Linked DNA regions of Elephas maximus indicus. The protein of the gene in region 2 interacts with the protein of the main gene of each other region in a pairwise test. Links are inferred from orthologs where the notes say so. Each region holds a gene or a part of one and is shown on either strand. Other genes may lie near its edges.

Region 1 (6,478 bases), on a different chromosome or scaffold from region 2:
GTTTACACAGCAAATTAGGCTCCCAGTAATTGTTAAATTACTACACAACTTGTTCAGTGACATTGGTTATATTTTTCAGTGTGTCGACTTTCTCATTATCTCCATTCTGCTTGTTCCGTTTCTAGTAATCTAGTTTCCTTCTTTTCTTTGTTTTTGAGTAAATGTTGACCATTTGGTTTCATATAGATGATAGCTTTACTTTTCTAATTTAAAAGATTTATTATGGCTATATATACATACACATAACATAAAATTTCCATTTAACTATTTTTAAGTGTACACTTCAGTGACATTAACTACATTTACGATGTTATACAACCATCACCACTATTTCTCATCATCCTAAACAGAAACTCTGTACCCATTAAACAATAACTCTCCATTCCTCCCTTCCCTCAGCCCCCGGGAACTATTAATAAACTTTGGTCTTTATGCATTTGCCTATTCTAGATATTTCATATAAGTGGGATCATACAATATTTGTCCTTTTGTGTCTGATTTATTTCACTTAGCACAATGCATTCGAGGTTCATCCATGTCATAGCATGTATCAGAACTTCATGTCTCTTTATGGCTGGATAATATTCCATTGTATAGATATACCACATATTGTTTATCCATTCATCTGTTGACGGGCACTTGGATTGTTTCTACCTTTTGACTCTTGTGAATAGTGCTGCAATGAACATTGGGGTACAAATACCTGTTTGAGTCCCTGATTTCAAGTCTTTGAGATACATACCTAGCAGTGGAGTTGATAGGTCATAAGGTAATTCTATGTTTAACTTTTTGAGTAACTGCCAAACTATTTTCCATAGTGGCTGCACCATTTTAGAATCCCACCAAAACTTGTTGTTTTCTGGTGTTTTTGTACGTGTGTGTGCGTGTGCTTTGATAATAGCCATCCTAGTGGGTGTGAAAAGTTCCTAAGTAGTGCAAATGGTTAGCAATCGACTATTGACTATTAACCTTAAGATTAGTAGTTTGAACTTGCCCGATGGTACTGTTGAAGAAAGTCCTGGCAATCTGCTTCTGTTAAGATTAAACAACAACAAAAAACCTAAACCCACTGCAGTCTAGTCGATTCCAACTCATGGTGACCTTAAGTGTGAAGATTGTTGTTGTCGTTAGCTGCCATCCAGTCAGCCCCAACTCATGGCAACCCCATGTGTCACAAAATAAAACTGTTACATGGGGTTCTTGGCTGTAATCTTTACAGAAGTAGTTTGCCAGGATTTGCTTCCATGGAACTGCTGGTGGGTTTGAACCACCAACTTTTGGGTTAGCCAGTTGCCAATTGCTTGTGCCACAGACAAGAAAACCCTCTGGAGCAGTTCTACTGTATAACACATGGGGTCACCACGAGTCAGGATCAATTCCACAGCAACTTTTTTTTTTTAATGAACATGAAGTGGTATCTCAATGTGGTTTTGATTTGCATGTCCCTAATAAGCATCTTTTCATGTGCTTGTTAGCCATTTGTATCTCTTTTTTGAAGAAATGTCCGTTCAAGGCTGTCTTAGTACTAGTGCTGCTATAACAGAAATATCCCAAGCGGATGGCTTTAACAAAGAGAAATTTACTTCTCTACAGTAAAGTAGGCTAAAAGTCCAAATGTGGAGCGTCGGCTCCAGGGGAAGGCTTTCTCTCTCTGTTGGCCTTCTCACCAATCTTCCCCCAGACTAGGGGCTTCTTTGCTCAGGGACCCCGGGTCCAAAGGAAGTGCTCTGCTCCTGGCACTGCCTTCTTGGTGATATGAAGTCCCCCCTCTCTGCTAGCTTCCCTGGTAAGGGTGACCTGGTAAGGGTGTTACAATCCCACCCTAATCCTCTGTAACATACAATGACAATCACAAAATGGAGGATAGCCACAGAACACTGGGAATCATCGCCTAACCAAGTTGATACACACATTTTGGGGGGGACATAATTCAATCCATGACAAAGACCTTTGCCCATTTTTAAATGGGGTGGTCTTTTTGTTGTTGAGTTGTTGTTGTTAGGTGCCATCGAGTAGGTTCCTACTCATAGCAAGCCTATGTACAACGAACAAAACACTGCCTGGTCCTGCACCATCCTTAAAGTTGTTATGTTTGAGCTCATTGTTGCAGCTACTTTGTCAATCCATCTTGTTGAGGGTCTTCCTCTCTTTTGCTGACCCTCTACTTTACCAAGTATGATGTCCTTCTCCAGGGACCGGTCCCTCCTGATAACGTGTCCAAAGTGTGTGAGACTAAGACTTGGCCATCCTTGCTTCTAAGGAGCATTCTAGCTGGACTTATTCCAAGACAGATTTGTTCGATCTTTTGCAGTGCACGGTATATTCAAAATTCTTTGCCACCTCAAAGGCATCAATTTTCTTCCATCTTCCTTATTCATGGCCCAGCTTTCACATGCATATGAAGCATTTAAAACCACCATGGCTTGGGTCAGGCGTGCCTTAGTCCTTAAATGGGTTCGCGCTTGTAATCTTATTAAGAATAACTACAGTCAAGTGGATTTTAAAGGAGACATAGTTTAATACTTGCAAGGACTAGGAGATAGAAAGATCACTCTCAAAGCATTATCTTTCAGAACAAAGGGGTGGGAGAAGTTTTATACTATGCAGTAAGAGGGAAGTTATTCATTAAACTCCTGGGATATAGCATGCATATTTAAAAGGACTGGGCTAAGTCTTAGCAAGGAAGTGGGTGTGGGACCTCTCGTTTCTAAACTGGGTCTGGCTTTATCTGATGCTGTATGTCTGGCGTTTTTAGTTCTTTGACACCAGTTTCTTGGTTCTTAGGCAGGACTTATTATGGGATGAGGACATACAGTGGTCAACCAAATTGTTTCTGCGCCGGTGTGGAATGCTGGTTTTAGTTGGTTTACCTGAAAAACAATCCTAAGAGGAAGCATTAAGGGAAATCTGGTTGCTTACGGTTTAAAATTTAGCCTCAGGTTGAGATACTGGTTTCCTGTGTCCAGCCTTGTTTGCTTTGGAATTTTTACAGCCTCTGTTCACAAGAGGGAAACTCTGGTGGCATAGTGGTTAAGTGCTATGGCTGCTAACCAAAGGGTCAGCAGTTCAATCCACCACACACTCCTTGGAAGCTCTATGGGGCAGTTCTACTCTGTCCTATAGGGTCGCTATGAGTCGGAATCGACTCGACAGCACTGGTTTGGTTTTGGTTTTTGGGTCACAAGAGGGTTAATTTTACCGCAGGACCCCAGACCTGTCTCAAAGTGATGTCTTTGCTTTTTAACTCTTTAAAGAGGTCTTTTGCAGCAGATTTTCCTAATGCAATGCATCCTTTGATTTCTTGGCTGTTGCTTTCATGGGTGTTGATTGTGAATCCAAGTAAAATGAAATACTTGACATCTTCTGTCTTTTCTCCATTGAGTTCCTTGTATATTCCAGGCTAGTTTTTGATAAGTTAGAAGCCTCAGAATTATTGACACCGACTTTCTTAGTCGCCAGAGCGACTGTGGCGCACCTGACTTGCCTTCACCTCTCCCATTCCCTTTGGGAGCACCAAGAATAGGATCCGGATGGCAGGAAATGGGAAGAGTGGTGACGCTCTGCAATGGTATCTCTCATTCCCAGTTCTCCTGAAGCCACTGATGACAGTCTCACAGGTATTTTCTACACTGCGCTGAGGACCCCGCCTGGGAATTGGCCCCTTGCCGTGTGTCTATACACGGACGTGCCCTGTGTGTTCGCATTTCTGCGTGTGCATGAAACTAGGTACGTGTGCAGTGCCTGTGCAAGTGTGCAATGTGGAAACGTGGGTCTTTTTGCCTGGATCAGCGTGCCTGCATGCATTCTGTGCAAGCCTTCAAGTTTTGGCGCAATTCTTTTTCTTCTAAAGCACTTCCCACGTCGGGGCTCTGGAGGTGGTCTAAATTGTGTACGTGCGTGAAGCCTTTCCGAGAAGAATCGTTCAGGGTTCTCAAGTGTTTCCCCCCACTGGAACGGCTTGGTATGGTCTACGACCTCCCCTTCATTTCTTCCGATAGTGGTTGCACCCATACCACCCGGAAGTGTTTGCTTCGCTAGCAGGTCAGGTTTCGCGGCCCAACATGGAGCGGTCCGGAAGCACGACCTCCCGCGTCCGAGCTCCCACAGCCGTGCAGAGCGACCCGGCCTCGGTGACCCTGACGCAACTTGTGCAGCTGGTCCAGCAGGGCCAGGAGCTCCCGGGCCTGGAGAGGCGCGACATCGTGGCGACCCAAGGGGAGCCCACGGCGTCCCAGCTCCCGCGGAGGCCCAAGCCCTGGGAGGCCGCGGCCTGTGTGCCGTCCCGCGCGCCGCCGACTGTCGGCTGGAGGAGCCGCCCCGAGCCCGGCTCGGCCGAGGTGTCGACCGCGCGGCCGTAAACGGTACGTGGTGGTTCCTGAGGCTCGAGGCTCTTTGCAGCGCAGACCTGGCGGGCGCGACTACGTTCTGCGCGAACTGGGGACTCTGGTTGCCGGCCTTCACCCCGACCGTCTCAGCTGACTAGATCCTCGTGGGGTGTCATCGTCAGGATAGCTTTGTTTCCTTGCTTCTGGACCGTGAGCCTCAGCTAAAAGCTTCGAAAACCTAGCCCCAGTCCTTACGTGTAACTGAAGCAGGTTTTATGCTTTACTATCTTTGACGCAGCCCTGTTTTTTTCACGTACAAATTGCTACTTGGGTCACACTAACGGGGTTTGACTCCCTGGGGGAAGCACTGCCTAGGGTCTAACAATTCCTTATCCTGGTGGTAGTGGAAAAGTGAATCTGGGATCTAAATCGAGTTTTTAGACATCCATTCTCCAGATGGGTAGCTAATAAAGCTTTGATCATAAAACTTACACCGAGGATGACTTTGAAGATACATTAAGTGAAGAAAAAAATCCAACATGTGGAAGTCTATAGTTTACCATGCTTTAAACATGTTAGTGTATTCACAGATTTTATCTGGGAAAATTCCATGAAAAACTAATGGAAAAAGGGGATGGGAAAAACTGCAGACCACTCAAACCTTTATTTGTTCCACGTGCAGTGCAAATAATAATTTTACAAAAAAATTTTAAGTTGAATGAAATCCCAAAGCATTAAAAAAAAGCCAACCAACAACAAAAACCCTGGAACCCTTGGCTCTGGAACCAGCTAGGTCAGGTGCGAAGCTAGAGATTTAGCCCAAGGAGGAAAAGCTCCCACGACCTTCTGGTTAGTCTCCTTAGTAGGCCATGTGGTTCACTGCACCTATTCTTACTCCCTAAAACTTGTTTTCCCTGCAAACCTAGAACCTAACAGGTGTATACATGGAATGTCAAGAGCAACTCACGTTGGTGTACACTATCTACAGACTAATACATGGAGCTAGCTTTCCCAGAAATAAGATCTACATTTTTAGGGAATGATTTATCATGGGACGCTAAGCAGCAGTACATAATTTTTTGATCCATTCTTCTATTTATACAAAATTCTAAGTTAAAAAACTACTCAGCTTAATCTTTTAAACAATCCTGTGAAGCAGACAAAAAATCGTTGCTGTGAAGTCGATTCCAACTCATAGCAACCCCACAGGACTGCCCCACAGGTTTTCCAAGGAGCTGCTGGTGGATTCAAACTGCCAACCTTTTGGTTAGCAGCCAAGCTCTTAACCACAGAGCCACCAGGACTAGATGTTCTAAGCCCCATTTTATAGGCACAGGTGGAAACATTGTTCCCACAATTAGTACAAGATAAATTTGGAACATAAACCCTAGGCTTCCATCTTCACAACTAGTTTTTCCCCTGACTTCATGACACATCACCTTAATCTCATTTCACAGTGCTTTACAGTGTATTAACTCTTAAGCCAAGCAACCTCATAACCTGGCACATTTTAAGGCATTGTTATACCTTGAACTCAATTTCACAGCTATGTTTGAGACTCCCATGAGCCGAAATTGCAGCAAAACTGATCTGAAGGGACCAGAGAACACAACAGTTAAGCATTAATCTTGGCCTGATAGACCCTCATCAACTGCTTAGATGGGAGGTTGAAAGGGAAAGCTCATTGAGAGCAGACATTGATGATAAAGACAAGCAGAATCAGACCCCTTTGTTCAGGTCTAACACCCCAGAAGCCCTTTTGTTGGTCTACTACATCACTGTCAGCAGGGCAGAGGGCATTATTTCTGAAGTTCAGAATATTTAAGGTAAAAGCAACACCAAGAAGGGTCTAAATAAGTTGCCTGCCTAGGGCCTAAAAGACAAAAAACCTGTAGTGCTAATGTCATCCATGCCAAACGGAGCAAATGGTTCACTCCTTCCTGATCTAGGTTGTACAAAATTCCACCTTGAAGCCCAGCAGAAACAAGGTGGGCATTTCCCCAAGTTACAGACAGTGTGGGGACCTTGGGCACCTACCACTGTGTTGTTAGTATGAATCACCTAATTGGTTTGAAGGGAAAAAGCTATCTTTTCAAGTTTTGGTCCTCCCCAGGATATGGAGCCAGAGGAGGCTATCATGGGCAGGAACCTGG
Region 2 (8,015 bases):
AAGCTCTGGCACATTCCCCCTTGGAGGTCAGCTCTCCGTTAGAAGATGGGCCAAAGCTTTTTGAGACACTTGTCTTACACCAGGAGGCAAAGCAAGTGGCTTGGTTCTTAGGCTGGAAAAGAAAACAATAAAGGGCAGAAGTTGCTCCATTTGTAAAAATTGAAACTTGAAGATAAAACACTTTTTTTAGGCTAATCTCTCTAAAGGAGTTTTTGTAATATGTATCTGAGAAAACTGCATATGACTTTTAAAAGCTGAGCTCTACTCTTGCCAACAAATGGTTATTTGCATTTTGAGAAGGGAAGTCTGACTGTCCATTACCACTCATTGACAATACAGTAGTTCCCTGAAACTGCACCCTGAGAAGGGCCAGTAATTAATAGAGGGGACTGAAAAGTCAGCATGGCATTCCAGATGAAAAATTAAAGAAGCAAGTGAAACTCTGTATACGTTAACCCTAAGTACGTAGTTGGTGTACACAGTAATGACTGTGGGTCATCAAGAAAAGATTAAAATACATTCATTATGTTAATGAGAATGAGAAGTACATACAAGTATATTTTAGAAAGATTTTCATCAAAAAGTAGTTGAAAATTTTTTCACTGGTTAAAGGAGTAAATCTCAATTATCTGGAAAATAAGCTTCTGTGGAATATCTCTTTGCTTCTTAAAGAAAATGATAGTGCTTTATATTGAGGTTATTATTGCAATAAAACCTTCCAAAATTAATAAATGTGCTCCAATCTGTTTCTGGAATCTACATTTACATGTCTATTCCCGGTGTAGCTTTTACAACCCAGAGAAATATGGAGGAAGGGAGCAGATACTTAGATGGATAGTTAGGACATCAGATGCAACACAGAGATTAGCAAAGAAGAAAAGCCTGGCAAATAAAATGCTTATAGATTTAAGTAGTCTCATATCTTTTCATTATTCCTGTAATGCATCTCATAGATGTATGTAATCAGAGTCATAATTATATAATCTCCTTTCCTATCCATTGCCTCTTTTAGGACCATGGTTTGTTGGTGAAATCATTACAGGCAAATTGGGTTGCTGCTTTTCTTTTGGGATCTTTGTTGATGGACATTTCCTACAAGGCAGCTTAACATTTGTAGTTGGAATTCTCCAGGTAAGAAGTTGGAAATGCAATTTAAGAACATCTTGGCCTTGTTGGACTAATTGCATTACAGTTATGAATTACCCCCCAAATCTGAAATGAAATGCTGTGGATCATCTTTCCGACTTTGCAGTCAGGGCAGTCTTTAATAACTGGTGTTCTGTTTGTATTTAGAGTGCTTCCTAAGTGCTTTCTTCCACCACTCTCTTGTAAACATCTAAAATAGATTTTTGGAAGGCAGGATTTGTAAGAGGTGAAAGAGATTTTTGTTGCTGTTACTTGTTTCATTTTGCTTTTTCATTGACAGAAGATGAAATAAGGGTCTAATAGTAGAATAAATGATAGAGTTCACACTAAATCAAAATTGATTATGATTAATAAAGAACGAAAATGTTTCAGGAAGAAGAAAGTAAAAATAGACACACAAGAAAAGTGGCTTATTTATCCAATGGAAATGGCACTGGGCAAAAACGAGACCTGGGCTTTCCCATGGTGTCTTAGCAGGGTACCTGCATGGGAAATGCTGATAGATTAGGTATACATTTGGATTAAGAGTCCTTTAAAACACACAAAGAGCCCTGACCCATAGCAAATCTCCATAAACAGATTTCAAAAGTATTTACCTAGTTCTTTATTTTACTCATCTGATGGCGCTAGACCAACAAGCCAGACCTGGTGGCTCAGTGGTTAAAATGCTTGACTGCTAACCAAAAGGTGGCAGTTTGAACCTACCAGCCGTTCTACCTAGCGGTCTGCTTCTGTAACAATTTACAGCCTTGGAAACTCTATAGGGCAATTCTGCTCTGTCCTACTGGGTCACTAGGAGTCGGAATCAACTCAACAGCAGTGGGTTTGGTTTTTTGTTTAATGAGGTAAAACCAAACTCGTTGCCACTGAGTCAGTTCCAAGTCACAGCAACCCTATAGGACAGAGTGGAACCGCCCCACAGGGTTTCCAAGGAGTGGCAGGTGGATTCAAACTGCCGACCTTTTGGTTCGCATCCGAGCTCTTAACCACTGTACCTGGACCAGAATCTGAGGTGGTAATCTGAAGTTTTGGAAGAGATCAAAAAACATGGTTCACAATGAGTTCAAAGCCTCATACCAGGGCAGTAAAACAAGATGAGCAGGATTGGAGACAGTCAAATAGGCAAGACCTTGGCCTAGCAAACACTGAGCCTAGGCTAGAACATTCCCTGCATGGCAGCATTGTATATGTGAGAAGGTCCTAGGTCCAGTTTAGTTTCCATTATGTAGATGGAGGCTGGATCTCGGGAGCACTCTTTTACCAAGTAAAACCAGAACTTTGCCAAAAGACTTCTTTCTCTTTGTAAATGTTTACATTCATAGTTTAATAAATAGTACACTAATAAATGGATTTTATGCATCATACAGGTTCATGACTCCCAAATCTGTATCTCTGGCTTAGACCTCTTCTCTGCAGTTCAAGTGCCTGTATATTCGACTGTCATTTCAGATCTTCCCTTAGATGTCTAACAGACATCTCAATATTATGTCTCTAATAGAACCTTTAATTTTCATCCCCAAACCTGTTCCTCTCTTGGTTCTTTCCAATTTCAATAAATGGCGCCACCATTCATCCAGTTTCTCCAGGGTGTATCCTCAGTTCTTCCCCTTCCCTCATGTGCTATATCTAGTCCATCAGCAAGTTGTACCTTGTTTGGTCTACCTCCAATATACACCGTGAGTCTATACACTTCTCACCATCTCTGCTGCCACCAACCTAGTCATAATTATGGCTTCCCTGGGCTACTATACTGACCCCTCACTGCTCTTCTTACTCCTGCTCTTGCTCCCCTACTGTCAGTTCACCACAAAGCATCCAATGTGATCTTTTTAAGACCTGAATCAGCTCACTCACTTCTCAGAGTATAACCCTTTAAGCAGAGCAGTGACATTATCTGGGCCCTACTGTCTGCTCCAATCTACACCTGGTTGGTCATTCTCCAGACACATTGGCCTTAAAGGCCTCCCCCACCTTTGGGCTTTTTATTTGTTCCTTCTGCCTGGAATGCATGTCCCTCCACTGATTCATTCCTGTCCTCAGGCCTCAGAGAGGTCATCTCCCAGTTACTTTCATGACCAGTTCTTTCTTTCATTGAACTTACCACAACCAGTTATCTTTTTTTTTTTTCAGTCTCTCTTCTCCCTGTTAGAATGTAAGCTCCATAGTGGATCTTTTCAGACTTGCTCACTCATGTGTCCAAAACTGAGAGCGTAGTACAGTGCCTTCCACATAATGAGTGCCCAGTAATTACTTTTTGAATAAATGAATGAATCGTAACAGCACCTAAGCTTGTATTAAAGCTTCTAATTTGTATTCCAGCACTCATGCCGCCTCAAATAGAGATAAGGAAAAAAAATACTGATACCCAAGTTCCCATCAACCAAAAAAAAAAAAAAGTTAGAGCCTATATATATATATATATATGTGTGTGTGTGTACACATGAGTATAAACACACACATACACATACTCAATTCAACTTAAACTCTATTGAGTATCTGCTGTTATGTGGTAGTGGAGATTTCAACATAAATGACACCTGCCTTTAAGATGAACAAAAGGACACAGGCAAATACAAAACTAACTATAGTATAAGTGAACTGTTGTATAATATGCAAGTGATCAAAGGAGAGAATCAGAGAACTAACTAACCCCAAGAGAAAAGGCAACATTCTTGGGAGCTACCAATAATGTATTAAGGATACCTACCCCTCCAAGGCGTGGTAGAAAGCTAATGGTTCTCCTCTGCTCCTCTTTGCAGCTGGTGTTTTTTAACATCCCCTTGATGACTTACCTGTCCTGGAGCTTGTTGCAGCGGTGCTTTGGTCACAACTTCAGATCTCATCTCCACCAAGGAAAATACTTGAAAATTGTACCTGTTCACCTACTTATGCTACTACTGTACGTTTGGCAGGTCTACTCCTGCTACTTCCTTCACGTGACGTATGGCACCCTAGCTTTTTTCTTCTCCCCTTTGCGGACCTGGTTGACACTGCTGACACCCATTCTCATTCGTTGTGTGTGGACACTGAACCCCACTGAGCTTGGAACCTTCATTGTGCAGTTAAAAAGCCACCTGAGCTCCTGAAGGCCATGCCTCCCCATGAGCAGCTGGGCCCAGCTCAGCTCCACCTCTAGTGAAGCAGGTGGAGAGCCAGTGCTGGTGGCAGAGCTTCGTGGAGCTGCAGCTTTTTGGACACCTGGGAGTTAAAGGGACTACCCACTACTGATTGCTGCAGAATGGACTGGAGGAAAATCTCTAATTAATGCTGTGATTTCTTTCTTCCTCAAGAATGCAAAAGGTTGATTGACCTTTGTGAAGAGAAAGCCCTAATCTAGGAGATCCTCAGGGTGGATCCACAGGCTGGGTGTATGTATGGGAGCATCTGAGGCCCAGGGTGTTTACGTTACCCCACATAAAGCACCTAGTACAGTGCTTGGCACTCAGCAGTTGCCAGAGGTGCCACTTCAGGGGCAGGGAACTTGGAACTTGGACCTGACCCTAACTGCCCTTCAGATGTTAGCTCCTAGCCCTGTTTTCCTGCAGGGTTATGGTTCTCAGCTTCCTTAGTCGGGGGTGTTTTCAGTTAATCAAATAAATGAATGAATCAATGAGGAATCAATATGGCTCTTGCGTGTTGTGGCCTGGCCTTAGGCGGGGAGGGGCGGGCGCGGTTTAGCATCAGGCAGCGGGAGGAGGCGTGGCCTGGCGCCTGGGGGCGGGAGGAAGGCGGGGCCTGTCTTCGGAGAGTGACTGCTGACGTGGACACGTGGCTCGGCCTCTGAAGTGATAGGGGCGAGGCAGCGCTCCCGGGGCGGGGCGTGAAGGGTTGTTGCCGGAAGCGGACCTCAGTTTGTGGCTCCCGGAAGTGGGGTGGCTTCCGCAGTGCGTCTCTGGTACCGGCGGTGGCGACGTTTGTAGTCACCAGGCAAGCGACTGAGATGGCAAGCACAGCTGCCCCTGCAGCCGCCTTCCCCACCCTGGCTCCGCCTTTGGAGCAGCTCCGGCACTTGGCAGTGGAGCTGCGGTCGCTCATGCCTGGAGTGCGGGGTGAGCTGACGCCGTTGCGGGGCGATGACAGGCGGGTTGGGACTGGGGAGAGAGCAGGCTGGGGCGGTGGCGGCGGTCGGGGCGGAGGAGGTGGGGGGCAGAGCTGGCTCCGCTTACTCCAGCTTTTCTTTTGCCCCCGCCCGGCCCCCACGCGCCACACCCACAAGTCGGCGAAGCGCAGGAGACCACCGAGGAGTTCAATCGGGAGAAGTTTTGGAGGAGACTCAGTGAGTGCTAGTCTTGGCGTCCCCATCCCTTACCTCTTCCGTTTATCCTTGGGCCCTTCTGCACCCTGAGCTGCGTCCCAACCCCTTTCCCTCCCACTCTCCCTCAGGGAGGTGACCACGCTCCCCCGCCGTATCCTCAGCGTGGGGGTACCTCTCCTTACCCTTCCTCGGCAGTGATTTTTGGAGGTGTTTTTGAGACGCCTCAGCCGGCAAGGGTGAAGAGGGAACGCATTGTCTTTGACGTCTGCGAGCAGCTGCAGCCTTGTTTTGGCACTAACACATTGGCACCTGCCTCCTCTTCCACCCTGCAGACGAGGCGGCTGTGAAAGTGGCCAGCGAAGCCACGACTCTGACCACAGCCTTCTCCAGACTTCCGCTGCCGTCTCCACAGGTGGGCTTCACTTCCCCAGTTTCCTTGTGCTGCCTCCTTCCCACCTTTTACACTCAAGCCAGGGGACTTAATTCCCTCATCTGCCAAATGGGATTACAGTTCTTACCTTAAAGGATTGTTGTGAAGACCAAATACGGCAATGCGCGTAAAATTGCCAGGTGCGCTACATGGTGGGGAGTAGACAGGTCTTCTAAATATTGGTTCAATTTAAAGTCCAGCCTGGTTCGTTCATTTCTGATAACTTTTTTAAAAAAGCACTTACAGCTTGCTGGGTGTTTTCACATACATAGCCCTCCTCCGACAGATGAACAAGCAGGCTCAGACGCTCATGTTAGGGTAAATAAGCAGTGAGGCCGGGATTAAGTTGGGGTCTGTCTGTTGTCAAAGCTACATCTTTTCTGCTGTACTACATAAAACCCTTTTTGAATTTTTATTTTATTGTGATTTAGGTGAAAGTTTACATAGCAAAGAGTTTTTCATTAAATAATACGCATATTGTTTTGTGACGTTGGTTGCCAACCCCACAATGTGTCAACACTCTCCCCTTCTCCACCCCAGGTTCCCTGTTTCCATTCATCCAGTTTTCCTGAACTATTTTAATTTTTTATACTGAATTAGTAACATGTATATGGTATGAAATTAAAAAGATATCAAAGTATGCTAAAATGTTTATATCTCACAACTCCAGTTTCTCGTTTTTGCCTCCCCCCCAGTTCTTTTTGTATTTTTCCATATTTATTCTGTGCATATACACATTCATGTACACATGCTTTTTACACAAATGTAACTTGTAACTATAACGAGTGCTGTGGTGAATTACCTGGTACAATCTGTGTGTGCGTATGCATATTGGTAGAAAAAAAATTCCCAGAAGTGGCATTACTAGAACAAAGAATTATACACTTTAACACTTTATTATATTATAAAACTAATGAAAATAAACATGTAGGCTGGGACCAGGTATGCCCAGTTTTTCTAGAGCTAAGTATGCCTATTTGGGGGGTAAGATTATTTAAAAGTGGCATACTCATTGACTTACTTCATTCTCATGGTCAGTAGTTTCAGTCTCCGATGCTTTGAAATGATACATTCTTTCACTGAACCCACAATGATAAACCCCCTCCTCATACCTCAGAGATCTGTGTTGAGGAAACGGGATGACTCGGAGTACAGCACTTTAAAAGCTTCGTGGAAGAAAGTCAATATTTCTATCAAAGGAACTAGCAGTATTACCTTTTTTCCTCTTATATGCAGATTCCTTTCTTTCATATACACTTAGGACTTGCCAAAATTCATAGCTAGTAAGATCCCATGAGGAGGCAACATAGAACTATTTTTCTGTACATGCTCAGTACAGTGATTTTACTCATGGGTGAAAATTTAAATTTAGAATTTGGTTTTATTTGAACGACATATATAAGGAATCTCAGCATCTTAGTCCTGTAGTTTAAAATACACTGAATACTGATACACTGAAAACTACGGAGTTGAATGAGCTCTCGTGGTTTTGAGCAGCGATCATTCAGATGAGGAATATCACCCATTATGGACTGATAGATATTTTTAGAAAACTGTGTGCTTGGATGTTACACAATGTCAAATTGCCATGAAAGTGCCTAAATACTTATTCTCAATCACTGTATTTATATCATCCTGGACTGGTAATAAACAGTTTGTGGATTGGCACCAACCTGTGGGCCACACCTGGCATAGCACGGGCTTAGAACTTAGCAGATTAAGTGAAGACAAGGAAGGTAGGAGAAAGCCAGTGACTGCTTTAGAGGAAGAGAGTCAACATTGAACATTGCTGAGTCCATGTGATTCTATTAAAACAAAGGAGAGAATGAGGGTGGGGAGATATAATGGTCTAAGACAGGAGTTGGCAAATAGTAGATAATTGTGTTCCAGTAATACAGTGAAACCTGTCAGAGCCAGAACTCAACAGGACTGCCTTGTTTTTCTAGGCCTTGCAAGTTTTCTGCCTTTCACAGGGTGCAGCCTTACCACTTTTCTCTCGCTTGGTTTATTGGAAAAAAATTGAGTTTTCCTCTCTGACAGGTTTCCACCTTACACAGGTTCCAGCTTTTGCAGGTTTTACTGTACTTTACTTACAAAACTTGGCAGTAGGCTTGATTTGGCCTGTGGGCTATAGTTTGCCAGATCTTGGTCTAAGATATGGTGAGTACTTCACAGCAGATCACT

The links.
Region 1: the proteins of CCNDBP1 (region 2) and C1H6orf226 interact in binary tests that used the Homo sapiens proteins (3 or more experiments, as listed by UniProt). The two-hybrid records come from large-scale screens. The link is inferred for Elephas maximus indicus from reciprocal best matches to the Homo sapiens genes CCNDBP1 and PEX39.

Annotation. Positions count from the first base shown.
Region 1 is NC_064819.1:107,310,589-107,317,066, reverse strand, and holds C1H6orf226 (uncharacterized protein C6orf226 homolog), read left to right. Parts: upstream 1-4,028; 5' UTR 4,029-4,061; coding exon 4,062-4,358; 3' UTR 4,359-5,910; downstream 5,911-6,478. UniProt on the Homo sapiens protein: May be a peroxin involved in the PTS2-mediated protein import pathway.
Region 2 is NC_064828.1:12,855,070-12,863,084, reverse strand, and holds the start of CCNDBP1 (cyclin-D1-binding protein 1), read left to right. Parts: upstream 1-4,994; 5' UTR 4,995-5,086; coding exon 5,087-5,195; intron 5,196-5,362; coding exon 5,363-5,422; intron 5,423-5,733; coding exon 5,734-5,813; intron 5,814-8,015. Other genes in the region: TMEM62 (transmembrane protein 62), read left to right, coding at 1,013-1,131, 3,906-4,232. UniProt on the Homo sapiens protein: May negatively regulate cell cycle progression. May act at least in part via inhibition of the cyclin-D1/CDK4 complex, thereby preventing phosphorylation of RB1 and blocking E2F-dependent transcription.